Linked DNA regions of Anolis sagrei. The protein of the gene in region 2 purifies or fractionates together with the protein of the main gene of each other region. This does not show direct contact. Links are inferred from orthologs where the notes say so. Each region holds a gene or a part of one and is shown on either strand. Other genes may lie near its edges.

Evidence for each region.
Region 1: the proteins of POLR2G (region 2) and SCAF1 purify together in Homo sapiens (affinity purification with mass spectrometry; 3 studies listed by BioGRID and IntAct, counting the BioPlex papers as one, with this or other methods). This does not show direct contact. The link is inferred for Anolis sagrei from reciprocal best matches to the Homo sapiens genes POLR2G and SCAF1.
Region 3: the proteins of POLR2G (region 2) and RPRD2 purify together in Homo sapiens (affinity purification with mass spectrometry; 3 studies listed by BioGRID and IntAct, counting the BioPlex papers as one, with this or other methods). This does not show direct contact. The link is inferred for Anolis sagrei from reciprocal best matches to the Homo sapiens genes POLR2G and RPRD2.
Region 4: the proteins of POLR2G (region 2) and GPN3 purify together in Homo sapiens (affinity purification with mass spectrometry; 3 studies listed by BioGRID and IntAct, counting the BioPlex papers as one, with this or other methods). This does not show direct contact. The link is inferred for Anolis sagrei from reciprocal best matches to the Homo sapiens genes POLR2G and GPN3.

Annotation. Positions count from the first base shown.
Region 1 is NC_090026.1:29,332,458-29,339,980, reverse strand, and holds the start of SCAF1 (splicing factor, arginine/serine-rich 19), read right to left. Parts: upstream 3,007-7,523; 5' UTR 2,766-3,006; intron 1-2,765.
Region 2 is NC_090032.1:12,908,787-12,916,345, forward strand, and holds the start of POLR2G (DNA-directed RNA polymerase II subunit RPB7), read right to left. Parts: upstream 3,009-7,559; 5' UTR 2,890-3,008; coding exon 2,878-2,889; intron 775-2,877; coding exon 665-774; intron 1-664. Other genes in the region: ZBTB3 (zinc finger and BTB domain-containing protein 3), read left to right, coding at 4,940-6,301. UniProt on the Homo sapiens protein: Core component of RNA polymerase II (Pol II), a DNA-dependent RNA polymerase which synthesizes mRNA precursors and many functional non-coding RNAs using the four ribonucleoside triphosphates as substrates.
Region 3 is NC_090032.1:6,033,861-6,040,752, reverse strand, and holds the start of RPRD2 (regulation of nuclear pre-mRNA domain-containing protein 2), read right to left. Parts: upstream 3,015-6,892; 5' UTR 2,961-3,014; coding exon 2,678-2,960; intron 1-2,677.
Region 4 is NC_090034.1:42,354,020-42,361,907, reverse strand, and holds the start of GPN3 (GPN-loop GTPase 3), read right to left. Parts: upstream 3,010-7,888; 5' UTR 2,812-3,009; coding exon 2,764-2,811; intron 282-2,763; coding exon 173-281; intron 1-172. UniProt on the Homo sapiens protein: Small GTPase required for proper localization of RNA polymerase II (RNAPII). May act at an RNAP assembly step prior to nuclear import.

The DNA.
Region 1 (7,523 bases), on a different chromosome or scaffold from region 2:
AATGTTGTTGTTCCACTCTGAACTTTTTACTCCAATCATCACACTGATAACACTTAAAACAATACTCGTCATGCCACTTCGTCACTTTCAACTTGACCACTTTGAAATTTGAGTTGCTTTTATGCCTTACCTTTTCTCCCCACTCCTTATCCAGTCAACACAATTCTCCTTCATCAAAACTGCCTCTCAGACCTACAACTCCCGCAATGTATATCATCTCCTACATTATTCACTACTTTAGCTCAGTAAAGATTTTGTCGCCCAGTCAAAAGATCAGGAAGTGGGAAAAGTATGAGAATCAACAGAACAGCCCAGGGATGAGGGGAAAGGCAGCCCTCCAGATATTATAGAGTAGCAACTCTTGACCAATCAGCCAAAAGTGCTAATGGAATTCCAGGTCAACAACATCTAAAGACCTACAAGTTGTCCATCCATTGATGAGACAATATTGACATTGCTGGACAAACATTCTGACCTGGAAAAAGGAGGTTTCTTACGCAGAATATGCTGCTGCCTCTGAGGGTGGGAGAGTCTCCTTTTCTGGAGGTTTTTAAGCAGTGGCTGGAGGGCCATCTGCCAGGAATGCTTTCTGTATTCCTGCTTGACGGAATGGGGTTGGACTGGATGGCCCTTGGGGTGTCTTCCAACTCAATTATCCTATATTGATCCAATTCTGTCTCCTCCAGAAAAATTGCACCTCCAATTCCAATTAACATCCCACTGCCACAATCCACTCCTTGCCTGAAGTTCTTGATAATTTGCTCAAACACCTCCAAAACATCACATCCAAAATATAAGGGGTGCCCTGTTTTTCCTTTATAGATTTCTATGCCCTCAAACACTTCAAAGTTCACAGTCTAGAAGCCCCTAAAATGCCCACTTTCCTTTTCAAAGGGTGCATCTGCACTGATGAACGAATACAGTTTGACATCACTTTCAGTGTCACAGCTTAATGCTATGGAATTATGGGTGGTGTAGTTTGGTGAGCAACCAGGCCTCTTTGGCAGAGGAGGTGCAAGACCTTGTAAAACTTTAACTCCAAAGACTCCATAGTCTTGAGCCCTGGCACTTCAAGTGGTACCAAACGGCATTAATTCCACAGTGTAGGTACACCCTCAAATAAGAAAGGCCTTGTGGACCTGGAAATTCAATCTCATGGGTTCCATTGGGATTTAAAATCCAGGTAAATCTCCAAAGGGTTATATCCATATACATCTCATCCCTTTTTACTTCCACAGACATCACAATCCCTGAAATGGACCAAAGTGAGGACCACGTAAGCCCTTTCTACACTGCCATATAAAATCCAGATTATCCGTTTTGGGAACTGCTTAATATGGCCATGTCGACTCACATAATCGTGTTCAAAAAAGAAAATGTGGATTATCTGCTGGATTATATGGCAGTGTAGAAGAGGCAAAGAGACACAGGCACAAAGTAACAAGCCATGACTGACATAGGGCCCCCGTCTACACTGAACAATTAATGCAGCTCACTTCAAACCACCAACTCCCACAGAAGCACAAAAAGAAAGAAAGCCCTCAATGCGCATCTGTGGTTTATGGGCCTCAGGCCCCATTTACACTGCCATATGAAATCCAGATTATCTTCACTGAAGTGGGTTATATAGCATTGTAGATTTATATAATGCGGTTCAAAGCAAATAGTGTATATTATCTGATATGAAAATCTGAATTATATGGCAGTATGTACTCATATAATCCAGTTCAAAGCAGACAATGTGGATTATCTGATTTGATAATGTGGATTACAAGGTAGTGTAGACTCATATAATCCAGTTCAAAGCAGACAATGTGGATTATCTGCTTTGATAATGTGGATTATATGGCAGTGTAGACTCATATTATCCGGTTCAATGCAAATAGTGTGGATTATCTGTTTTGATAACATAGATTATATGGCAGTGTAGACTCACAGAACCCGGTTCAAAGAAGACCATGTGGATTATCTGCTTTGATAATCTGGATCACATGGCAGTGTAGACTCATATAATCCGGTTCAATGCAGATAGTGTGGATTATCTCATATAATGTCGATTATATGAATCTACACTTCCATATAATACAGATTTAATAATTATATGACTATGAAAGTGTAGTCATATAATCCAGTTCAAAGCAGACAATGTAGATTATCTCATATAATGTTGATTATATGAGTCTACACTTCCATACAATACAGATTATTAAATCTGTATTATATGGAAGTGTAGACTCATATAATCCAGTTCAAAGCAGACAATGTGGATTATCGGCTTTGATAATCTGCATTATATGGCAGTGTAGACCCAAATAATCCGGTTCAAAGCAAACAATGTGGATTATCTGCTTTGATAATCTTGATTATATGGCAACGTAAACTCATATAATCCGGTTCAAAGCAGATAATCCACATAACGTAGATCATATGCAAGGGGAGAAGGGGTGTCAATGTGCTTCCAGGATTTTCCTATGCAATCGACTGCAGGGCGAAACCACTTTCTTCCATACCGCTTTGAAACTGCGTTAACTGCTCAGTGCAGATGGGGCCACGATCCCAAGCGGGTTTACCTCCCCGACCCTCCCCTTGCCTGACAGGGAAACGCTCTTTCCCCGTTTCGCCTTCTCGCCTGCACTACGCGCACCCCCTCGGCCTCCCCTCAGGAGAAAACAAGACCAGACCCCCAGCGTCGCCCAGGGAAGCTGCACCGCCCTCCCCGCGGCCTCCCTCCCTCCCTCCCCCGCAAAGAGAGCTGCCATTATTACCCGGCTCCTCCGGGTGGTAGGCCCTTCCGCCCGCCCACTTTCAGGAGAACGGGAAGAAAAGCGGGAGGAGGAGGAGGAGGCGCGGCCACTGCCGCCGAGTCTGCCCGGGCCCGGCCTCTGCGGCGGCCATTTTACTCCTCTCGGCCCGACTGCGGGAAGGGCGGGGCCACAGGACTTCGGTGGCACTCTGGGAAATGTAGTCCCTCGCTGGCGGCAGTTAGCGACGCGCAGCCAGAGAGAGGACTACGATTCCCGGAAAGACCTTCGCGTCATCCTGGAAGCGGCGCGGGGGCCGACGGGAGGCGGAGTGCCGGAGACGGGCGGGGCCAAGAGCGAGGAGGAGGCCGCTTCCGCAGTGCCGCCCGAAGCCCAAGAGGAAAGCCTAGGTCTAGGTTTGGTTGTTTCACGACATTTCAGGTTCCCGAGTCTCCAGTCGTTTGGATGGAATTTTTCAGGCTGGAGCTGCCTTGCCATATCATCCAGTTGCAGCATGCAGATCAAGGCCCTTCTACAAAGCAGATAATCCACTTGATCTGCTTTGAACTGGATTATCTGTGTCTACACTGCCATATGGGGAAGTTTAGATTGTTTTTAACTTTTAATGTTCAGTAATATGGAAAGTGCAATATAATAATATAGTACAATATAATAATATAGGTTGTTTTTAACTTTTAATGTTCAGTAATAAGGAAAGTGCAATATAATAATATAGCACAATATAATAATATAGATGGTTTTTAACCTTAAATGTTCAATAATATAGAAAGTGCAATATAATAATATAGTACAGCATAATAATATAGATTGTTTTTAACTTTTAATGTTCAATAATATGGAAACTGCAATATAATAATATAGCACAATATAATAATATAGATTGTTTTTAACTTTTAATGTTCAATCATACGGGAAGTGCAATATAATAATATAGTACAATATAATAATATATAATATAATTATTATATATTATACTAGCCATCCCCTGCCATGCGTTGCTGTGGCCCAGTCTGTGTGTATGTGCTTTGTGTGTGTATATATTTGTGTATATATGTATATGTGTCTGTTTGCATGTGTATATGTATATATGGTTATGCACATGAGCTGTAATGTGGGTTTTTTTTTACTTTTAAAATCTCTTCTGCAGTGTTTTTCAGTGTTTTTATGAGTGATGGTCACTTGTTGGCCTGATACATGTATTTTGTCCAAATTTGGTGTCAATTCCTCCAGTGGTTCTTGAGTTATGTTAATCCCACAAACAAACATTACATTTTTATTTATATAGATTACTAATAATATCGCACTATAGTACAATAGGGCCCATGGTGGCACAACGGGTTAAACCGTTGACCTGCTGAACTTGCTGACTGAAAGTTCACCGGTTCGAATCCAGGGAGCAGAGTGAACCACGCTGTCAGCCCCAGCTTCTGCCAACCTAGCAGTTCGAAAACATGCAAATGTGAGTAGATCAATAGGTACAGCTCTAGGCAGGAAGGTAATGGTGTTCCATGCAATCATGCCGGCCACATGACCTTGGGAGCATCTCCAGACAACGCTGGCTCTTCGGCTTAGAAATGGAGATGAACACCAACTCCCAGAATCGGACATGACTAGACTTATTGTCAAGTGTGGTGTTGAGAGAAAAATCCTGAGAGTGCCTTGGACTGTGAGAAGATCAAACCAGTCCATACGCTAGGAAATAAAGCCCAACTGCTTACTGGAGGGAAGGATATTAGAGGCAAAGATCCTTTTCAAAGCAGACAATCCAGATTTTATATGGCAGTATAGAAGGGGCCTATTTTTAAATATACAATGATAAAGAAAGTTTAACTCTTCCAAATCCCCACCCAAAAAAGTTTTAGTGTTTTAAATACCAGTTGCGTATACTTTAACCAGAAAGCCAAAATACTCCAAAATTCAAGATTGTTCACATGGATGACTGCAAGGAGTGACACCTTTGCTTTCTGGTGGTTCAATGCACACAAACTTTGCTTCATTCACAAATTATTAAAAATGATGTGCATAAAATGATGGTTGGGCAGCTTGTATAAAGTGTGCATGAGGTAAAGCTAAAGGTTTTCCCCTGACACTAAGTCCAGTTGTGTCCAACTCTGGGGTGTGGTGCTCATCTCCATTTCCAAGCCGAAGAGCCGGCATTGTCCGTAGACATCTTCAAGGTCATTATTTTGCACTTATTGACCGCCACTCTCAGCCCTAGGGCGACTCGTGGCGGCATGACTGCATGGAACGCCGTTACTTTCCCGTCGGAGCAGTACCTATTGATCTACTCACATTTGTATGTTTTCGAACTACTAGGATGGTAGAAGCTGGGGCTGACAGCAGAAGCTCACGCCGCTCCCCAGAATTGAACCTGTGAACTTTCAGTCAACAAGCTCAGCAGCTCACTGCATCACTGGGGGTATGTATGAAACATAAATTAATTTGATGAGGTATCTTGGGTCTCACCTCCAAAACTATATCATTAAATACATGCAAATGTTCCAAAATCCGGGGCGGAAATCCAAAAACTCTCTGGTCTCAAGCATTTCAGGTATAGCTCAATTTGTAAATTGAGATGTCTAATAGAAACCGGAAATGGAGGTGGCATGAAATGCTTCCACATTGATATATCTCTTTGTACTATGAGCATCACTTCCTCAGACCTCTGCATCACGTGAATTGTAGTTCCGGCCTATAAAGTCGTGCTGTTTTTGCTCCTTTTTCTAGCCTCCCTTGACCAATATTTCATGTCATTCATCAGGATAAAGCTACACTTTGCAATGAGACAAGTTCTTCTGGCAGGGCTTCTCAAACTCTAGTCCTCCAGGTGTTTTGGACTTCAACTGCCAGAAGCCTCAGCTGCTTTGGCTGATGATCAGGGATTCTGGGAAGTGAAGTCCAAAACTCACTTCCCAGAGTGTGGGCGACACTAATGGGATTGTTAGAGAAGAGATGCCATTCATTCTTTGCTTCTTGGCATGGTGGGAGATGTAGTTCTCTCCCACTTTACTGGCCATTGTGTGATACTATGTTTATCACTACAGTTCTATCTACACAATATCTTTTTTTAAAATATTGCAATAATAATATCTATCACAGACATGGGCAAATTTTGGCCTTCCAGGTGTTCTGGACTCCAACTCCCACAATTCCTAACAGCCTCAGGCCCTTAAGCGGCTGAGGGGGAAAAGGAAAGGGCCTGAGGCTGTTAGGAATTGTGGGAGTTGGAGTCCAGAACACCTGGAAGGCCAAAATTTGCCCATGCCTGATCTATAGTATCAACAATTAAGAGGAAATCTTACACTGTATTCAAACTATAATCACATTCCAATCAATCCTAATCCAAACAAGTACATTTTGGAAGAATTTGTGGGCAGTGCTTGACTTTGGCTGGATCTACACTGCCAAATAATCTAGATGATCAAAGCCGATAATCCACATGATCTATTTTAAACTGGATTATATGAGTCTACATTGCCATATAATTCCATTCAGGTTAGATAATCTGGATTGTATATGGCAGTGTGAATCCAGACACAATTAAAAAACACATGGTTACAAATATACCAATATTAAAAATATATAGTTCAAAGATATCCCCTTCACTACTAATACAATGCAGATTTAAAATTCATAGTTCAAAATTGACTCGGTAGGCTTTCCAAAAGGAGGAGGTCCTTATTTGTGTCTTAAATTTGGATAAAGCTGGAAGAAAGGACTTTGAAAGTGTTATCGAAAATCCCCAACCCCTTCCCAAATAAAAATAAGACATAGTTTGGTGCACAAATTGTAGTTTTCCAAGGACAGAAGGCCAGATGAATGGGAAATGGGCTCCATCCCTATGACCCGCCCTTGAACCTCCCAAGGACCACTAGCAGCCCACACTCCATAGGCCCCAATCCCCCGCACATTGGCACACAACCCCAGCTCAGCAGCATAACCCAAGCCATGACAGAAATATTAAAAACTGCTGCTAGTAAGTTACTCTGCTATACATTCATGGGGAGGGTCTTTTGTTAATAAGCCCATTTGACCAACAAGCTGGATCACTCCAGTGGATGTTGGAGGCTTCAGCAGAGATCGCCCAGCTCATTCCTCCCTCCTTCTCAGCCTAGAAGGAAGATGGACAGTTACAATGTATCTGAAACACTTCCATCACGCAAGCCAATGTATCTGAAACACTTCAATCACCCAATACTATGTATCTCGTAGTGGGTTAAACCCCTGTGCTGGCAGGACTGAGGACCGACAGGTCACAGGTTCGAATCCGGGGAGAGGCGGATGAGCTCCCTCTATCAGCTCCAGCTCCCCATGCGGGGACATGAGAGAAGCCTCCCACAAGGATGATAAAACATCAAATCATCCAGGCGTCCCCTGGGAAACGTCCTTGCAGACGGCCAATTCTCTCACACCAGAAGCGACTTGCAGTTTCTCAAGTCGCTCCTGACACGACAAAAAATATTATTTTTTATTCTTGGCCTTCTGTGAATGTATCCAAGAATGCAGGGGATAAATATAAACCAGTACAGCAAAAGCACCACATGAACCCTCATTCTTCACACATACACACCCTTTCCCTCTCGCTATGAGTCCATAACAAGCACCACATGGACGCTCTTCTATGAAATTAAGGCAAATGTTCATGAACCTATGAACTCTAGTCACCTCTCTTGAGCAACTCCAGATGCCCCTTCCTCAACTTGTGTGAGAACCAGTGATGGGACATAATCTGTGGGACAAAGGACCTTCCTGAATCTCAGT
Region 2 (7,559 bases):
AATTTTCTTTGTAACTTGGGAACTATCTGTGTTGGTATTTGTGTTTTAATTTTCGTCCTATGTATTTTAATGTATGTATTTAAATGCTGTTGTGTTTTACCTGTGTGCTTTAATTACAGGTAACAAATAATAATAATAGAATTCATGAGAAACAACTGGAAAAGTTTACACAGAACAAGGATTTAAAGATCAAACTGCAAAGACTCTGGCACAAATCAGTCAAGGTGGTCCCAGTGTTGATCAGCACATTGAGTGCAGTGCCTAAAGACCTTGACCTGCACTTAAAAACAATCGGGAGCTGACAAAATTGCCATCTGTCAGCTGCAAAAGGCCACCCAACTAGGATCTGCACACATAATTCACTGATACATCACACAGTCGTAGACACTTGGGAAGTGTACAACATGTGATTGAATACAAAAGCCAGCATAGTGATTTTGTATGTTGTGTACAGATCTTGTTGTGTATCAAATAATACTAATAATAATTATAGGAGAGGGCATAATGATTTAATGCCGTTCTACTTGAAAACCCAAGTAGTGGCCTTGGAGATAACCCACACACAAAACTGTTCAATTATCTGGGCAGAGCTGTCAATAATAATAATAATAATAATACAAGCAAGTTCAATGGGAAAAGATAATCTCTAGCCACTTTTACTTACTTTCCAGTGCAGGTCCCCTCCACTTCGGTGAACAGCTTTTGCTTCACAGTGTTGAGGAGGTTAGGCCCAAAGTAACGTGGATGCAGCAAAATTTCATGCTCCAAAGATATCTGGAGGAAGAGAATACAGGGGTTAGCGCCCACTAAATAAATAACAAGAACTTTAAACAGTTCAGAGAAAACTCCAACTACTTCAGGGCATAAGGAAGAGCCAGTCACATTCTCCTGGAGACTCACAAACATCATCCCCTGATGTTTCCCTATAGCAATTGGCATTCAGATGCTTACACAATACCTGTGAATATGTAGGCAGCATATTTAATGGGCAGTCTTCCTTTTGACTCCATGAAACCAGGTGAAAACCTTTCTTTTCTTTAATGATAAATATAATAATATTTATTTGTTATAGAAGGCTTTCATGGCCGGAATCCTAGCTTGATGTGTGTTTTTCGGGCTGTATGGCCATGTTCCAGAAGCATTCTCTTCTGATGTTTTGCCTGGATCTATAGCAGGCATCCTCAGAGGTTGTGAGCTCCTCTGGATGTCTGCCACAGATGCAGGTGAAATGTCAGGAGAGAATGCTTCTGGAACATGGCCATATACCCCGGAAAACATGCAACAACCCAATATTTATTTATTATTTATTTATGATGGGGTTGTAGTGGTGGTGGGATTGGGGAAAATACTGGTATTTTGAATGTTAATTTCAAAGATGGCACGTTTCTATGTATTATACAATAATTATTTTTTTAAAATGCCCACCAAAAATTATTATTTATTTATGACATTTATATCCCACCCTTCTCACTGCAAAAGGGATTAAGAGCGACTTACAAAGTATATGTACATACAATATATTATATTATTAGCATAGCACAATATTAGTATTATATATTACTATTTTGTACTGTATGACTATACTGTAATATTGTTAGTAATATTAAATGTAATATATAATACATTATTATTATATTATTATATTGTATTACAATATTACAATCAATATTATATGAGCATACAATTTATTACATTATAATAGTCGTATCAAGATAATCATAGAATCATAGAATCAAAGAGTTGGAAGAGACCTCTTGGGCCATCCAGTCCAACCCTCTGCCAAGAAGCAGGAATATTGCATTCAAATCACCCCTGACAAATGGCCATCCAGCCTCTGCTTAAAAGCTTCCAAAGAAGGAGCCTCCACCACACTCCGGGGCAGAGAGTTCCACTGCTGAACAGCTCTCGCAGTCAGGAAGTTCTTCCTCATGTTCAGATGGAATTTCCTCTCTTGTAGTTTGAAGCCATTGTTCCGCGTCCTAGTCTCCAAGGAAGCAGAAAACAAGCTTTCTCCCTCCTCCCTGTGGCTTCTTCTCATGTATGTATACATAGCTTTCATATCTCCTCTCAGCCTTCTCTTCTTCAGGCTAAACATGCCCAGCTCCTTTAGCCGCTCCTCATAGGGCTTGTTCGCCAGACCTTTTATCATTTTAGTCACTCTCCTCTGGACACATTCCAGCTTGTCAATATCTCTCTTGAATTGTGGTGCCCAGAATTGGACACAATATTCCAGGTGTGGTCTAACCAAAGCAGAATAGAGCATGGGGAGCATGACTTCCTGGGTCAAGTAGGGTCATGCTGATCATGCAGCTTGACCCTACTTTATCTGCCTGCGCTCAATGCAGGGAAAAGTAAAGGCCTTGGGAAACTACAACTTCCAGGATTCCATATCATTGAGCCATTGCAGCAAAAGTGGGGTCAAACTGGGTTAATTCTGCAATGTAGATGCACCCAATTTCACTCCTAATAAGCATGCAGCCAGCTTGCCATATTCTTGTCGAATTCAAAACAGCAGAGAGGAAACAACCAGGCACATCTTAACACCTCTCAACAGAACATTTTCCCAGGCTCAGCCAGGCCGTCAAATGCTAATAAAGGTGGTCAGCTGAAACATTCACACCTAGCTTCAGCAGAGAAGAGCTCTTTGCCCCAGCCATTCCACAGATATATAAACGCATTGTCCTAATTCTAAGAGACCTCACTACCTCTGAGGATGCTTGCCATACATGCAGGCGAAACGTCAGGAGAGAATGCCTCTAGAACATGGCCCTATAGCCCGAAAAAACCTACAAGAACCTAGTGATTCCAGCCATGAAAGCCTTCGACAATACATTAGTCGTTTAGATGCTTTAAATACAGCTCCGGCCATTAACTTACATGATAAAACATGCTCCCAGCTCCAACAGCCACCTTTTCCCTTCCTGTAAACCAGCTTCCTCCTGATTGGCTGCGCCGGTCGGAGCGCCCTCCTCCTTAAAGGAACAGCACCTTCTCCCGTGATCCCTTCGTATTTGAACCGTTGCAAACTCACAGTGAGTGACGTTTCACCTCGCTAGGAGGCTTCTCCAATCGGAATGTAGGACACAGATGGTGATATTTCTTGACCAATGGCGAGACAGAACGCAGCAAGTTCCTTCCCCTTCAAGAGCGACAGATGGAGGAGAAAACATTCCCGCGAAGGGGGCGGGGGGGAGGAAGAGAGGCTGTCGCGGAGAGTGACAGAGAGTGCCAGCCAATCAGGCGAAAGGGGCGTGTCCCTCGGGGCCTCTGCTTTGTGGTGGGTAAGTGGGGGGAATCGAGGGGCTCCCTCTCCGCCCGGCGCGCCCCGTCGGAAGAGAGGGAAGCGCTGCTGGCACCGTGTCGGGGCTGGGAAGGGGGCCTCTTCCTTCTGGGGCGAGGGAGGTCTCGGGCAGGGCGGGGGCGGGGGGAGCCGGCTGGGGGTGCTCGTGGGGGCTGAGAGATGGGGGGAAATGGGGGCCCACGACGCCACAAAAGCATCGGAAGTGACTGGACGGACGAACCACAGGCCGCTGCTGAGAGAAATTGTGGGAGTTGGAGGCCGAGACCCCTGGAGGGCCAAAGTGTGCCCATGCCTGGGTCAGGCCCTTCAAACGGCCTGTTTCTGTGTCCGAACCCACAGGATCTCTTCGCTCCCCTGGAGAGGCCCTACTCGCGCTCCCACCGCCCTCGCAGGCGCCCTTGGGGGGGGACGAGGGAGAGGGCCTTCCCGGTGGTGGCCCCTCCACTCTGGCACTCACTCCCCAGGGACATTAGGCATGCCCCAACCCTGGCAGTCTTTAGGAGGAGCCTGAAAACGTGGTTGTTCCGGCGTGCCTTCCCAGAATAAGGAGAACTCTCAGCAATATGTCCTCACAATGCACTTTAATTTATTTATTTATCGTGTCATCAGCAACCATTGTATTACAATTCTAACAGAGCAAAACAAACACAGAGATTAAAAAGGGAAAAGGGAAAAAAACACACAGATTTTGCAAATTTGGTATTTGGCTAAATGTCCTTTGACCAGTATCTGGCCATTTGGAGTGCCTCTGGTGTTGCTGCAAGAAGGTCCTCCATTGTGCATGTGGCAGGGCTCAGGTTGCATTGCAGCAGGTGGTCAGTGGTTTGCTCTTCTCCGCACTCGCATGCCAAGGATTCCACCCTGTAGCCCCATTTCTGAAGGTTGGCTCTGCATCTCTTGGTGCCAGTGCGCAGTCTGTTCAGTGCCTTCCAAGTCGCCCAGTCCTCTGTGTGCCCAGAAGGGAGTCTCTCATCTGGTATCAGCCATGAATTGAGGTGCTGGGTTTGGGCCTGCCACTTTTGGACTCTCGCTTGCTGGGGTGTTCCAGCGAGTGTCTCTGTAGATCTAAGAAAACTATGTCTTGATTTGAGTCGTTGACGTGCTGGCTGATATCCAAACAGGGGATGAGCTGGAGATGTCTCTGCCTTGGTCCTTTCACTATTGGCTGCTACTTCCCGGCGGATGTCAGGTGGTGCAATACCGGCTAAGCAGTGTAATTTCTTAAATACTGACTTAGGATGGATTGCGTTCCCTCGTTTCTCTCTGAAAAATCCGACCCCAGTTACATTTTACCTGTTCACATCAGCATATTCTCAATTTTAATCTATTACATTTGGCCCGACCATTTTTAATATGTCATTATTGATTGTTGTTTTTGTTATGTGATTTATATGATTTGTATTTTATTGATTGTTGATTAATGTTGTGCTATTGATGTTTGTTTGATGTACTTCGGGCTTGGCCTCATGTAAGCCGCACCTTGGGGAGATGGTAGCGGGGTACAAATAAAGTTTATTATTTATTATTATTATTATTATTATTATTATTATTTAAAGTTACCAAGTGTCTTCTCTTGCTGTCCCAAAGGAGGCTGAGCTATGCCACTGAACGCCCAACGACCGTGAGAGAGGCCTCGGCATGGAGTTCCCCAACCACAGCCAGAACGTGCTGCGGAGCTTGTGGGAGCAGCAGCATGATGGCTTCCTGTGCGACTGCACCGTCCTGGTGGGCAGTACCCAGTTCCTGGCCCACCGAGCTGTGTTGGCCTCCTGCAGCACTTTCTTCCACATGTTCTACAAGGAGCGCCTGGACAAGCGGGACGTGGTGTCCATCAACAACGAGATCGTCACTGCCCCGGCATTCGAACTCTTGCTGGAATTCATGTACAAAGGCAGCCTGTCTTTCAACGACATGCCAGTCGAGGATGTCTTGGCAGCGGCCAGCTACCTGCACATGAATGACATTGTTAAGGTGTGCAAAAAGAAGCTTCAGGCCCGAGCGTTGACTGAAGCGGACAGCACCAAGCGGGAAGAGGAGGCCCCGGGCAATTCAGAACTTCTGCCCAGTACCTCCAAGTTTCAGCCTCCGATGCCTGAGCCTCAGCCCTTCCCATTGCCATCCCTGTGTCAGAAAGACAGTGACAAAAAAGAGGAGTGGAAAGGAGGAGAGAAGGTTGCTTTGGAGGAAACTGCGGCCTCTACTTTGGATGTGGCAGATACAACGCAGCCAGGCATGGAAATCACGCTGCCAACAAAGCCACCACAAGCACCCGTGATTGACATTTCTTTCTCTAGTCCCAGCAGTTCCACTGAAACAATCCCACACAATAGCTTTTCTCTAGCAAATGAAGGTTCTTCTAACACAGACCACGCTCCAGAGGGGTATTTGGAGCAAAGGACAGACACATTTTGTCAGAAGGAAACAAACCGGCCGTCTGTCAAGGTCAAAGTGGAAGCCATTGTGATTTCCGACGAGGAGTCTGATGCGACAGAGCAACTGGAGGGACAGGGCGCAGAGTTCAGATTGGAAAGCATCTTCCAAAGGTCTGCCTCAGAGACAGCGCTCCCTGGAAGATGTGGGCGCCATTTGGACACGTTTGAAGACCCTGCTGGGATAGACGAAGTGACGTCGGAAAGCGGCTTCCTGTCCCAAGAGCACCTCCCGTATCACATGATCCCCATGCCTGGCGGGCAGAGCTTCTCGAACATGGTGACGCCGCCCCTCCATGAACAGATGTACCTGCCGGATTTCGAGTCCCACTCCAGCTTCGGCATCTTTACCGACGATGTGCCCACCTGCAAGACGTGCGGGAAGACCTTCTCGTGCTCCTACACACTCCGGCGCCACGCCACCGTCCACACACGGGAACGGCCCTACGAATGCCGCTACTGCATGCGGAGCTACACGCAGTCCGGCGACCTTTACCGGCACATTCGCAAAGCCCACAATGAGGACCTGGCAGCCAAGCGTTGCAAACAGGACATGGAGAACCCTTCATAGGTCTCAGGTCCCAGCAGAGAACAAGGTTATTTCTGATTATTTCCTGTAGATACCATGCGATTTAGGACTTCTTTGAAGGTGGTGATTGGTCTGCATCCAACTTTTTCTCCTCTCCTCCAGTCACTCTCACAACCAGAGCTTTCCAAATGATTCATCATTGTGTTGCTGGAGGCTTTCATGGCCAGAATCTCTGGGTTGTGGTGAGTTTTCTGAGCTGTAGGGTAATGTTGCAGAAGCATTCTTTCCTGACATTTCACCTACATCTACAGCAGGCATTTTCAGAGGTTGTGAGGTCTGTTGGAAACTAGGTAATTGGAGTTTATACAGGGTGAGGCAGCATAACTTCCTTTTTTCAAAACTTAATAAAACCCATTGTATGAATCAGATTTTTTTTATTTTTTTTATAGTGTAGGCACATACCTAAAGTGTTGTTTTACGTAGTTTTGAAGATCAAATTAGGTAGGTGACATCCCCCATTCTCCAAACACTGAGTAAACCGATTTCTAGTGTTGCTGACTCTTGCCACCATAGCAGGCGTTCTGTTGGCAGTTTCTTCCTGGATGTTGGTCTTCAAATCTTGGAGGGTCCTTGGACGGTTCACATAAACACGGGATTTCAAAAAACCCCACAGAAAAAAATCACAATGGGCCAAATCTGGAGAGCGGGCCGGCCACTCCAAATCCGCTCGAAAAGTAGGCCTCAACGACAAAAGCACGCTCCTCACTGTTCCAATGCATGATAGCAACTGAACTGTGTCAGGACAAAACTTTATACTCCCGCCTCTCGAACGAGACCACTAGCGCTCCACTACGTCTTCAACCGACTGAATGGCACGCATTTTAAAAAAGGAAGTTATGCTGCCGCACCCTGTATATCTGTGGAATGCTCAGGGTGGGAGAAAGAACTCTTGTCTGTTGGAGGCAGGTGTGAATGTTGCCATTAGCCACCCTGTTTAGCATTGAAAAGCCTTTCGGCTTCAAGGTCTGGCTGCTTCCTGCCTGGGGGAATCCTTTGTTGGAAGATGTTAGCTGGCCCTGATTGATTCATGTCTGGAATTCCTCTGTTTTCTGAGTGTTGTTCTTTATTTACTGTCCTGATTTTAGAGTTTTTTTTAATACTAGTAGCCAGTTTTTGTTCATTTTCATGGTTTCCTCCTTTTTGTTGAAATTTTCCACATGCTTGTGAATTTCAATGGCTGTATAATCTGACATGATGGTTGTGAGAGTGGTCCAGCATTTCTGTGTTCTCAAATAATATG
Region 3 (6,892 bases), about 6.9 Mb from region 2:
TCCCTGGAGGGCCCAAGTTGGCCCCTGCCTGCCCTAGAGGGTTAAAGAGGCATATATTTTGGACTTTGGAAGCATATATTTGGACTTTGGAAGCATATATTTGGACTTTGAAGGCAGATATTTGGACTTTGAAGGCAGGTATTTGGACTTTGAAGGCAGGTATTCGGACTTTGAAGGAAGATATTTTGGACTTTGGAGGCAGTAACCGACAACAACAAAACTAGATGATGGGAGCCAAAGGGGCAGAAAAGGAAGCCTTTAATACCCCCCCTCTCGCCATCCGTCTCCCAATCTCTTCCAAAACATCAGCACCTCCCAACAAAGGATTCCCCCCAGGCAGAAATCAGCCAGGCTTTGAAGCTGCAAGACTTTGCAATGCTTGCCTAGTTTCCAACAAAGCCCTTCAACCTCTGAGGATACCTGCCATGGATGTGGGCGAAACGTCAGGAGGGAATGCTGCTGGAATATGCCCAGACAGCCCAGAAAACTCATAGCAACCCAGTGATTCCAGCCATGAAAGCCTTTGACAACACACAGAAAGAATGAATAAAAAATAATAACATAATATTCTGTTATTATTATATCTAATAATAAGGATTTCCCCAGGCAGGAGCCTGGCTTTGAAACTGCAAGGCCATTCAATGCTAATCAAGGTGGCCAATTACAACATTCATATACCTCAAGCAGATGAGAATTCTTTTTCCCGCTTTGGACATCATTCCACAGGGATATATATAAACCCCATTTGCCTAGTTTCCAACAGGCCTCACAACAATATAATAATAATAATAATAATAATAATAATAATAGAGAGAGTGAGGATGCTTGCTTGCCTAGTTTCCAACAGACCCCCCCCCCCCTTCAACCTCTGAGGATTCTTGCCATGGATGAGGGCGAAACGTCAGGAGGGAATGCTGCTGGAACGTGGCCAGACAAACCTGAAAACTCACAGCAACCCAATAATAATAATAATGGGTTGCTGTGAATTTTCAGACCTGGGAACCCCACAACCTCTGAAGATGCCTGCCATGGATGTGGGCGAAACATCAGGAGAGAATGCTGCTGGAAAAGTGGCCAGACAGACCTGAAAACTCACAGCAACCCAAAGGTAAGGCTGTTTTGGGGATTTGGCCAACAGACCTGACAAACTTTGGGGATGCCTGTCATAGATGTGGGCAAAACATCAGGAGAGAATGCTTCTGGGACATGGCCAGAAAGTCCAGAAAACTCACAACAAGCCACACATTAATTCTGCAATATAGATGCAGCCTACCCGGTGAGATGTCAACATGCAGTTTGTTGGTGCAGAAAAAAGGGACCGTTTATATTATTATTATTATTATTATTATTGAAATGTCGTCAGGAGGGAAGGCTGCTGGAATGTGGGCAGAGGTACCTGAAAACTCACAGCAACCCAATTATTATTATTATTATTATCACAATCATGTCACAACCCTATTATTATCACAATTATATCACAGCAACCTAAAACCAATCAAATCATTTATTTCGGTCATTGACCAGCACAGGAAATAGTCACATTTCCATACAAACTTGGTATGTTTGGTACATTAAAAATATAAATATAACTACAGAAGCACAATATGGGTGAGGGAGCAGAAGGGGAAACAGGGTAAAAACATACAATGCCCAGATCCATCACCAAATTGTAGATTCAGGGAAGAAGATTACTGGGTTGCTGTGAATTTTCAGACCTGGAAACCTCACAACCTCTGAGGATGCCTGCCATAGATGTGGGCAAAATGTCAGGAGATAATGCTTCTGGGACATGGCCAGACAGCCAGGAAAACTCACAGCAACCCAATAATAATAATAATAATAATAATAATTGGTTGCTGTGAATTTTCAGACCTGGAAACCTCCCAACCTCTGAGGATGCCTACCATAGATGTGGGAGAAACGTCAGGACAGAATGCTGCTGGAAAAGAGGCCAGACAGACCTGAAAACTCACAGCAACCCAATTATTATTATTATTATTATTATTATTATCACAATTATGTCACAACCCTATTATTATTATCACAATTATATCACAGCAATTCAATAATAATAATAATAATAATAATAATGGGTTGCTGTGAATTTTCAGACCTGGAAACCTCACAACCTCTGAGGATGCCTGCCATAGATGGGGGAGAAACGTCAGGAGAGAATGCTCCTGGGACATGTCCAGACAGCCCAGAATACTCACAGCAACCCAATAATAATAATAATAATAATAATAATAATAATAATAATAATGGGTTGCTGTGAATTTTCAGGCCTGGAAACCTCACAACCTCTGAGGATGCCTGCCATAGATGGGGGAGAAACGTCAGGAGAGAATGCTGCTGGGACATGTCCAGACAGACCTGAATACTCACAGCAACCCAATAATAATAATAATAATAACAATAATAATAATAATAATTACTGTGAATTTTCAGACCTGGAAACCTCACAACCTCTGAGGGTGCCTGCCATAGATGGGGGAGAAACGTCAGGAGAGAATGCTGCTGGGAAAGTGGACAGACAGACCTGAAAACTCACAGCAACCCAATTATTATTATTATTATTATTATTATCATCATCACCCTGATATCCTTGAGTGTGCCTCGTGGGCGGGGCCTGCGGCCTAGCGTCCTGTCCGAAGCCCCTCATTTTCCTAGGCCTCACCTCGTCGCAGGTTCTGGATCCAGTGCCGGACGATGGCGTGGTGGTGGCGCTTGTTCTCCAGGCACCACGACGACAGGCCCTGGATGGACTCCATGGTGTTGGTCACGGCCTGCAGCTTCCTGTCCAGCGAGGCCTCCAGCGAAGACGACGAGGCGGAGGAGGAGGAGGAAGGCGCCGCAGCCGCCGAGGAGGAGGAGGAAGACGAGGACGACGAGGACGACGACGAAGAGGAGGAGGAGGAGGCCTTGCCGCCACCGCCGGCCGCCATTTTGCCTCCCCTCATCGGTCGCACAAGCAACGCCGCTGAGGGGAGGGGAGAAGACGCGTCAGTGCGCAGGCGCGCTTTTGGAACCCTCACTGCGCAGGCGCGGGGGACGGTTCAATCCCTTTCTCGCACACGCCTCCATCCCCGCGCAGGCGCATTGGCCTCACAAACTCTCAAGCGCTGAAGGGAAAAGTAGGCCCCGCCCCTTTTCGCAAGCTCCGCCCACCCTTATCTTCCATCCCCGCGCAGGCGCACTGGCCTCCCAAACTCCCAAGCGCTGAAGTTATACCAAAAGGAAAAGAAGTAGTCCCCGCCCCTTTTCGCAAGCCCCGCCCACCTTCTCTTCCATCTCCGCGCAGACGCACTGGCCTCCCAAGCGCTAAAGTTATTCCAAAGGGAAAAGTAGCCCCCGCCCCTTTTTGCAAGCCCCGCCCACTCCTCGCTTCCATCCCCGCGCAGGCGCACTGGCGACCAAGAGTCTCCCAAGCTCTGAAATTATTCCAAGGGAACAGAAGTAGTCCCCGCCCCTTTTCGCAAGCCCCGCCCACCCTTATCTTCCATCCCCGCGCAGGCGCACTGGCCTCCCAAACTCCCAAGCGCTGAAGTTATTCCAAAGGGAAAAGAAATAGGCCCCGCCCCTTTGCAAGCCCCGCCCACCCTTAGCTTACATCCCCGCGCAGGCGCACTGGCTTTCCAAACTCCCAAGCGCTGAAGTTATTCCAAAGGGAAAGATATAGGCCCCGCCCCTTTTCTCAAGCTCCGCCCACCCTCCGCTTCCATCCCCGCGCAGGCGCACTGGCCTCCCAAGCGCTAAACTTATTCCAAAGAGAAAAGTAGGCCCCGCCCCTTTTTTCAAGCCCCGCCCCACTCCTCTCTTCAATCTCCGCGCAGGCGCACTGACGAGCAAGAGACTCCCAAGCGCTGAAGTTCTTCCAAAGGGAAAAAAAGTCGGCCCCGCCCCTTTGCTCAAGCTCCGCCCACCCTTCGCTTCCATCCCCGCGCAGGCGTACTGGCGAGCAATATTAAATTTAATATTTTAATATTTTAGTATTTGCCATCTTAAATATTTCAATAGATTAAAATGTTTTTAATATTTAATTTTAAATAATATTGGATTTAAATATTAAAATATTAAATTTAATAAACAATTTTAATTTTTAAAATATTTAATACAAATATTTCAATAGATTAAAATGTTTTAAAATATTTCTAGTATTTCCCATATTTGATGTTTTAATAAATTGAAATAATATCAAAATATTCAATTTAATAAACAATATTTAATTTTAAAATATTTAATACAGGTAGGAAAATGCACATTTCAAAAGGAAGAACAGCAATTTCCCCCCCGTTAAAATTTTCTATCTCTTCCCAATGGAAAATTTATCTTGCCCATTGCCCCGCCCACTCCACCAATCAATCATTTAGCCTGGCAACCACGCTACGCATGCGCAAGAGATCCCAACCACGTGCCCAAGGAGGCCAAAGGAACGATTGCTCAGGCTGACGAAGCAGCCAAAAGGTGGCGTTTGCCGGACCCTTATTGGTGGAACCTTGCCCGCCTACTTTCGGAGTAACCAATAGGAAAGCGGAATGAGAACGCGCTCCTCCAATGAGGCTGCGAATAGAACGCGAGAATGAAAAGGAGGCGGCATTGAACTCAAACGCAGCAGTGGGAAGAAATGAAACAACTGCGCATGCGCTGCTAACCTAACCCAGCTGTGCTTTAGAGCATGCGCGGACTAAAGACTCAAAAAAGGGGAGGACGCCTCTGCGCATGCGCAAAACTCCAGTTTCATATAGTATTGAGCCATAGTGGTGTCAAACCGCATCAATCTTCCAGTGTGGCTGAACCCAAATTTACGAAAACACGTGAAAAAGATCAGAGTGCACTTTTGAGGCTCCTTCAAGACTTTTTCCCCCAATTGTACTAGTGTTTATTTCTCAATCTTTTGTTTTTTTAAAGGTAAACAATAGTAAAAATGTCTGTTTTTAAAGGATCTATGAATCCTAGAGTTGGAAGAGACCTGGTGGGTCATCTAGTCCAACCCTATTCTGCCAAGAAGCAGGGAAATCACATTCAAAGCACTCCTAACAGATGGTCATCCAGCCTCTGTTTAAAAGCTCCCAAAGAAGGAGACTCCACCACACCCTGAGGCAGAGAGTTCCACTGCTGAACAGCTTTCACAGTCAGGAAGTTCTTCCTCGTGTTCAGGTGGAATCTCCTTTCCTGTCGTTTGAAGCCATTGCTCCATTGCGTCAAATTGATGGCGAAAGGCATCTTCCAATGAGTAGAAGGTGCGAAATAGAACATTAGGCCCCATCTACACTGCCATATAATCCTGTTTCAGAATGCAGATTGAACTGGATTATATGGAAGTATTTATGACATTTATACCTCACCCGAAGGGTATGTATGCATGTACATGCAATATATTATATTATTAGCATAGCACAGTATTAGTATTATATATTACTATATTGTCCCATACCACTATACTCAATATTATTAAGAATATTACAATATATATTAGCATAGCACAATCTTAGTATTATATATTTCTATATTGCATCATACCATTATACTGCAGTATTATTCGTAATATTACATATTATATTGTATTACAATATTTTGATCAATATTATATATACATACAATATATTATTAGCATAGCACAATACTTGTATTATATATTACTATATTGCACCATACCATTATACTGTTGTATTATTAGTAATATTACATGTGATATAAGATATATATTTAATTATTATATTGTATTATATACAATGTTATGATCAATACTATATGTACATACAATATCTTATATTATTAGCAATATTACATGTGATATAAAATATATAATTATTGTATTATATTACAATATTTTGGTCAATATTATATGTAAATATAATATATTATATTATACTATATTGCTATATTATATATAATATATTATACTATATATATTATATATATACTATATATTATATAATATACTATATAATATATATAATATATTACTATATTGTGCGATACCACTATACTGCAATATTATTAGTAATATTACATGTAATATAAAATACATTATTATAGTATTATATTGTATTACACTATTATGATCAATATTATATGTACATACAATATATTATATTATTAGCATAGCACAACCTTAGTATTATATATTACTATATTGCACTATACCACTATACTGCAATATTATTAGTAATATTACATGTAATGTGAAAAATAAAATTATTTAATTGTTTTACAATATTATGATAAATATTATATGTACATACAATATATTATATTAGCATAGCACAATATTAGTATTATATATTGCACTATACCACTATACTGCAATATTATTAGTAATATAACATGTAATATAAAATATATAATTGTTGTATATTATTACTATATTGTATTACAACATAATGATCAATATTATATGTACATAAAATATATTATATTATTTGCATAGCACAATATTCCTATTATATATTACTATATTGTGCTAAACCACTATACTGCAGTATTAATAATAATATAACATGTAATATAAAATATATAATTATTAATTATTATATTGTATTACAATATTATGATCCACTATACTGCAATATTATTAGTAATATTACGTGTAATATAAAATATATAATTGTTATATATTATTATATTGTATTACAATATTATGATCAATATTATATGTACACACAATACATTATATTATTAGCATAGCACAATATTCATATTATATATTACTATATTGTGCTAAACCACTATACTGCAGTATTATTAATAATATAACATGGAATATAAAATATATAATTATTATATTATTATATTGTATTACAATATTATGATAAATATTATGTGTACATACATACAATATATTATATTAGCATAGCACAATATTAGTATTATATATTACCCTATACCACTA
Region 4 (7,888 bases), on a different chromosome or scaffold from region 2:
GTATACGTTGTATGTCAAATTGGCATTGAATGTTTGCCATATATGTGTACACTGTAATCCGCCCTGAGTCCCCTGAGAGGTGAGAAGGGCGGAATATAAATACTGTAAATAATAAATAATAGTTGCCAACCAATATGCTGTCAAGGGGCAGGGAAGGCATGCTTGGTCTGACCTGCCATGACATGATAGTCAAAGTGCTCAGCTGCGGGGTCCAGGTTCACCACTTGGACTGAGCGATTCAGGGTCTCGCAGTGCTGGACCATTGTGGAGCAGTAGGTGCTCTGAAATGAAACACAGGGAAAGACATCAAGCGTCTCCAGTCCCACCCTTGTGGGACCAGAAATCAGCAATCAAGCCATTACCGTCTGGGGAGAAAGATCCTTTCTTTCCAAGAGTCTGGCCGTCAGAGTTCAAAACTGGCATTGAACTGCATTAAACAGTGAGTGAAGATGAGGGTCTCAAAACAGGGGCAGATCACCCCCTCAAAAGCAACAGTGGGGCCCCTTCTACACTACCCTATACCCTAAGAACTGATTCCAGATTATCTGTTTTGAACTGGATTACATGAGTCTACATGGCCGGATAATCTGGGATAAGATCTTGGTATAGAGAGCAATGTAGAAGGGGCCTGAGATGCCTTTTATAACAGGGGTGCTTTTATGTCCTTTACACTGTGGGGCTGCTCCCTTCTTTAGAATGTATAAAACACATGAATGTATGAAATAAAAATAATATATACATATACATTGCTAATTGTCACATGGGGATTTTTGTTGTATTTTTTTACTGTAACTGTCTGATTTTACAGGTTGTAAGCCACTTTGAATCCCCTTGCATGGAGAAATGCGAGATAGAAATAAACAAATAATAATAATAATACATATAAAATAAACATATTTTAAACTGAGGCTCCTTCCAGACAGCTGAATAAAACCCAACATTTTCTGCTTTGAGCTGGAATATATGGCTGTGTGGACTCAGATAACCCATTTCAAAGCAGATATTGGGGGATTTTCTGCCTTGATATTCTGAGTTATATAGCTGTGTGGAAGGGTCCTACGTTTTGTGAATGTTTTCTCTGTAGGGAGACTTTTCTGTAAAAGCAAAGAAAGAAATGCATCCAGGGAATCTGGAAGAACTTGCCCCAATACAACAGGCCAAGCTCACGCCCTCTCTAAGACATCTATGCTTTCATGGCTATTGTTAAGAATGTTATGTATGTATTCATGGGTATGCTTCTTCTTCTCACGATTATCTTTCTTGTACTCTAGTGTATTTAAAACAACACAACAGTAATGTGTTGTTGAAGGCTTTCATGGCCGGAATCACTGGGTTGCTGTGAGTTTTCCGGGCTGCCTGGCCATGTTCCAGAAGCATTCTCTCCTGATGTTTCACCCACATCTATGGCAGGCATCCTCAGAGGTTGTGAGGTCTGTTGGAAACTAGACAAGTGGGGTTTATATATATGTGGAATGTCCAGGGTGGGAGAAAGAACTCTTGTGTGTTGGAGGCAAGTGTGAATGTTGCAACTGGCCACCTTGATTAGAACTGAATGGCTCTGCAGCTTGAAAGCCTGGCTGCTTCTTGTCCGGGGGAATCCTTGGTTGGGAAGTATTAGCTGGCCTGGATTGTTTCTGTCTGGAAATCCTCTTTTTTTTTTGTTCTTTATTTACTGTCCTGATTTTAGAGTTTTAAAATACTGGGAGCCAGATTTTATTCATTTTCATTGTTTCCTCCTTTTTGTTGAAATTGTCCACCTGCTTATGGATTTCAATGGCTTCTCTGTGTAGTCTAACATGGTAAGTTTGTAAGAGTGAGCATTTCTGTGTTCTGCAATAATATGCTGTGTCCAGGTTGGTTCACCAAGTGTTCTGCTATGGCTAATTTATCTGGTTGGATCAGTCTGCAGTGCCTTTCATGTTCCTTGATTCCTCCAATGAAGAAACATAACCTACAAGCTATCTGCAGACCCACTAAGAAAATCCAACAAATGCTACGTTCATCCAAGGACAAGAGGGATCTTCTCACCTCTGCAGGAGTCTACCGTTTACCATGTAGCTGCGAACAAGTCTACAGAGGGACCCCCAAACGCAGCATTGCCCAAACACAAATCAAGGAATGTGGCCATATAATCAGGAAAACTCACAGCAACCCAATACAATAGTATCCCCTACACCAGGCATGGGTAAACTTCAGCCCTCCAGGGGTTTTGGACTTCAAGTCCCACAATTCCTGGCCTCAGACCTTTTCCTTTTCCCCCTCAGCCGCTTAAACTTCGGCCCTCCATAGAATCATAGTTGGAAGAGACCTCATGGGCCATCCAGTCCAACCCCCTGCCAAGATGCAGGAAAATTGCATTCAAATCACCCACGATAGATGGCCATACAGCCTCTGTTTAAAAGCTTCCAAAGAAGGAGCCTCCACCACACTCCGGGGCAGAGAGTTCCACTGCTGAACGGCTCTCACAGTCAGGAAGTTCTTCCTCATGTTCAGATGGAATCTCCTTTCTTGTAGTTTGAAGCCATTGTTCCATTGCATCCTAGTCTCCAAGGAAGCAGAAAACAAGTTTGCTCCTTCCTCCCTATGACTTCCTCTCACATACTTATACATGGCTATCATATCTCCTCTCAGCCTTCCTTATGCGGCTGAGGGGGGAAAGGAAAGGGCCTGAGCCAGGAATTGTGGGAGTCGAAGTCCAAAACTTCTGGAGGGCCGAAGTTTGCCCGTACCTGCCCTACACCAACGAGACAGGAGCTGGCCCACCTTTCCGCTCCCCGCAGGGCCCATCACGAGCTGGGCAAAGCGAGGCATCGCAACCTCTCGCCCAGCGACGACGCCGGATTAGTTTGGACCAAAGGGCTACCCGTCGCCCATGCCTCCTTTGAGTCCTCTCGCCTGCATGCAAGGCTTTGCACGTCATTTCCTCCACGACGGAAGGGGGTGGGCAACGACAAGAACCGCAGAGCAGGGCATTTCCCTTATTATTATTTTTTCAGGGCGTCCGCTAGCCCCGCCCACAAGGCAGGAGGGGCCAAGGTGGGATGGCACTGCGCCTGCGCGGCTCACTTCCTCCTCGAGCAAGGAGGCGAACAAACGTGTATTCTCGCGAGAAGTCCCTCGCTTTCGGGATTTCTGGCCTCCATCCGCCTGGAACTGGGCTGCTGCTGGGAGCGCTGCATGTGCCGCTTGGGAGGGCGGTCGGAGGAGGAGGAAGAGCTGCCGCCCCCTTCGCTGAGGCTGCCTGGGTAAGAGAGGTCTTTTCTGCGAAAGGATGCCGCAAACTGCCACTCCCAGGAGCCCATCGCATTGAGCCCTGGCCGATCAAGTGCGGGAGGTTGACTCCAGAGTCACACTGGAGAACCAGGGCAAAGCCCTCCTCAATCTCTGGCCCTCCAGCTGTTTGGGCCTCCAACTCCCAGAATGTTCGACCAGAATGTCTCCAGCTCCCAGGGCTTCTGGGAGTTGGAGGCCCAAACAGCATGACCAAGAGAGTTCTAGGATAATAATAATGATGATGATGATGTGCAGGATTGGATAGAAACAACTAGAAAAGCTGACACGATACGAGAATTTAAAGATCGAACTGCAAAGTCCCAGTGGTGATCGGCACACTGGGTGCAGTGCCTGAAGACCTTGGCCTGCACTTAAACACAATCGGTGCTGACAAAATTACCATCTGTCAGCTGCAAAAGGCCACCCTACTGGGATCTGCACACATTATTTGCCAATATATCACACAGTCCTTGACACTTGGGAAGTGTCCGACGTGTGATCCAGTACAACAGCCAGCAGACTGATTTTGTTTGCTGTGGTCTCATCTTGTTGTGTTTCAAATAATAATGTTGCAATCCCAGTCGACAGTAGGATTGAAGAGATATAACTGGAAAAGCTGACACAATACAAGGATTTAAAGATTGAACTGCAAAGACTTTGGCACAAGCCAGTAAAGGTGGTCCCAGTGGTGATCGGCACACTGGGTGCAGTGCCTAAAGGCCTTGGTCTCCACTTAAACACAATAGGCACTGACAACATTACCCTCTGTCAGCAGCAAAAGGCCACCTTACTCGAATCTGCATGCATTATTTGTCGATACATCACACAGTCCTAGACACTTGGGAAGTGTCCAACGTGTGATCCAATACAACAGCAAGCAGAGTGATCTTGTTTGCTAGGTACTAGTCTTGGTGTATTTATAATAATAATAATAATAATAATAATAATAATAAACTTTATTTCTGACCCGCCTTCTCTCCACGTAAGGGATTCAGGACAGCTTCCAAAAAACAATTGGCAGACATTCAATGGGAGATGCAGTAATAAGGTAAAACCAACCTATCCAATAGGCCTTTATTGGCATATATAACAAGACAGTGTAAAATACAGTATAAATTATAAAAAAGAAAACTTCACATTTGTTACATGTTTAGTTCACAGACTTCATTCAGGATCCTTGCCATTGAAAGGCAATGTTTAAAATATTGGCAGTTTAAAAGCATAATTAACCAAGGGTACATTATAGAACCAACAAGTAGTCCAATTAAAATAAACAGATTTAAAATACACAAATAGGATAAGATAAAACAGCCTTGGCTAAAACATTATCAATCAGGCCTCATAAATAACACATTAAGCAGGTAAAACCTGTATAAAAATAATATAGATGAGGTGTGGCTCTCCAATAAGTTAAGGCAGTTACTGTCAGCGTTGTGACATGAAGTGAAATCAATGACACTAGTCATCTTCCTCTCCAAAGGCTAAAGTGTAAAAATAGGTTTGTAATTGGGGGTTTTTAAAAGGAGAGGAGTGATGGGGCTGTCCTGATTCCCATAGAATCGTTCCCTCTCGTTCCCACCAGCTGCGCTTGTGACGGGGGATGGGACCAAGAGGAGGGCTCCCTCCGATGATAGTGTCTGGTTTATGAGTGGGGGTGTGGTTTGTCAAATAGTCTGAGCCTGAACTGTTTAGGGCTTTAAAGGTAATGATCAGCACTTTATATGTAGCCCCGAAGTGGACTGGCAGCCAGTGGAGCTGTCATAACATGGGAGTTGTCTGCTCCCTGAATGGCGCTCCCGTGAATAGTCTGGCTGCTGATCTCTGGACTAATTGAAGCTTCCAAACTATCTTGAAAAGCAGCCCCACGTTCAGAGCATTGCAGTAGTCCAGACAGGATTTGACTAAAGCATGCATCACCATGGCTAGATCGAGATGCATCTGTTTATTTACATCCCGCTTTATCTCTCCATATGGAGGCTCAAAGTAGCACACAATTAAAAACATTATAACTTAAAATATACAAATATACAACAAACTGTATTATAATTCTATATTATATATTATCAGTAGTATTCTATTTCATATATTAGTACTATTATATTAGAATATTAGAATATATTATATTATATAATTATTGTATTACATTATAATATTTATTTACTGCATTTTTACCCTGCTCTCTCTCAACCCCGGAGGGGACTCTGAGCAGCTTCCAATTTGGCAATATTCAATGCCACATTAAAAATAAAAAAATACAAACAAAAATACATTGTGCATTAAAATCATAAAAACAATAGCATATAAATACATTAAATAAGCTGTTAAACAATGCATGTAGACTCAAAATCATAATCCAAAATCCGTTACAATTACATTACATTCCATTCACTTTGTTAAACCCCTGTGCCGGCAGGACTGAAGACCTACAGGTCAGAGGTTCGAATCCGGGGAGAGTGTGGATGAACTCTCTATCAGCTCCAGCTCCCCGTGCGGGGACATGAGAGAAGCCTCCCACAAAGATGGTAAAACATCAAAACATCCAGCTGTCCCCGAGCAACGTCCTTGCAGACTGTCAATTCTCTCACACCAGAAGCGATTTGCAGTTTCTCAAGTCACTCCTGACACACACACAAAAAATCACTCCATAGCTGCATGTTGCCCTGTACTACTCTCTAAATGCTTGGTTCCATAGCCAAGTTTTAACTTTTTAAAGACAGGAGGGAGAGAGTCAATCTGATTTCACTAGGAAGGGAGTTATAGAGCTGAAGGCCCACCACTGAGAAGGCCCTGTCCCTCATCCCCACCAGCTGCACCTGCAAAGGGGGCGGGACCGAGAGTAGGGCCTCCCCAGAACATCTTAGCGTCCGGGCTGGTACGCTGAGATACGTTGAGACAGATATATATATATATATATATATACACACACACACACATACACACAAGCATAGCACAATATAAGTATTATATAGTATTATATTGTATTGCATTATAATATTATTAATGTGATTGATATATATATATATATATATATAGGGTTGCTGTGAATTTTCCGGGCTGTATAGCCATGTTCCAGAAGCATTCTCTCCTGACGTTTCACCCACATCTGTGGCAGGCATCGTCAGAGGTTGTGAGGTCTGTTGGAAACTAGGCAAGTGAGGTTTACATATCTGTGGAATGTCCAGGGTGGGAGAAAGAACTCTTGTGTTGGAGGCAACTGTGAATGTTGCAATTGGCCAGCTTGATTAGCATTGAATAGCCTTGCAGCTTCAAAGCCTGGCTGCTTCCTGCTTAGGGGAATCCTTTATTGGGAGGTGTTAACTAGCCCTGATTGTTTCTGTCTGGAAATCCCCTGTTTTCTGAGTGTTGTTCTTTATTTACTGTCCTGGTTTTAGGGTTTTTTTTTTAATACTGGTAGCCAGATTTTGTCAATTTTCATGGTTTCCTCCTTTCTGTTGAAATTTCAGTGGCTTCTCTGTGTAGTCAGACTACACAGTTGTTAGAGTGATCCAGCATTTCTGTGTTCTCCAATAATATGCTGTGTTCAGGTTGGTTCATCAAGTACTCTGCTGTGGTTGACTTCTCTGGTTGAATTAGTCTGCAGACAGAAACAATTGAAGTCCAAAACACCTGGAGGGCCAAGGTTTGCCCATGCCGGATTTACACCGTCGAATAAATGCCCTGGCTCTGTCCTATAGACTCCTAGGTGCTGTAGTTTTACAATGCCTTCAGCCTTCTCTGTCAAAGAGGACTGGTGCCAGGATGTCATCACATTGAGCCCAGTTGTGTCAAGCTGCATTCGTTCTGCAGCAGAGATCTACCCTCCAAAACATGGATGGGCTTCCTTCTTCAAAGAACCCTCAAAGCAACCTGCAGTATATGCCCATGGGGCTATCATTTGGACTCTAGCTCCCAGAATCCCTTATCATTGGCCAAGGCAGCTGAGAATGCTGGGAGTTGAAGTCCAAAACACCTGGAGGACTAGAACTTGGGGATCATTGGGGATTGTATCTGGGTTTCACTTCAGGAGCCAGAAAAGAAAAATGGGTTCCCCTGACACTGTGGAGACAAAAACTTCAGGAGCCCCATTTAGCTCAGTTAGACTCCCAGGCCTTGCTGGCTGACAATGTGCTGGTCGTTGTAGTTCAACAAAGTAACTTTTCCAAGCTGCTCAAACGAAAACATTGTTGCCCAGCCCTTCTGCTTCCCTGACATCCAGAGGGCTAATGTGACCAACTCTTTTCTGCCTGCCTTCAGCTTGGCACCCAGATTTATAGCATAGGTTGTCTTTAAGCATTACCTGGTTGTTTTCAGCGTCATTTGCCACTTTTGAGTCTCATTTTAAGCGAGAAAAAGTGGCATACAAATAATAATGATATAATAATACCACATGTTTCCATCGGAATCTTTTATACCGATTTGCTCATTCCTTAGATACAGAAAGGTGAACGTAAAAACCTTTCCCCGCTTTCTGTCTACTCCAGATCACAACAAACTGTACTTGTGTAGTTTAGCCACCAAGAAGCCAGCTTTACAGCCCCAAATAAATTAATCCACAATTGCATTACACAGTTTGTGATGTGTTGTGGGCTTCAGGGCTTTTTCGGAGGTGGCATTT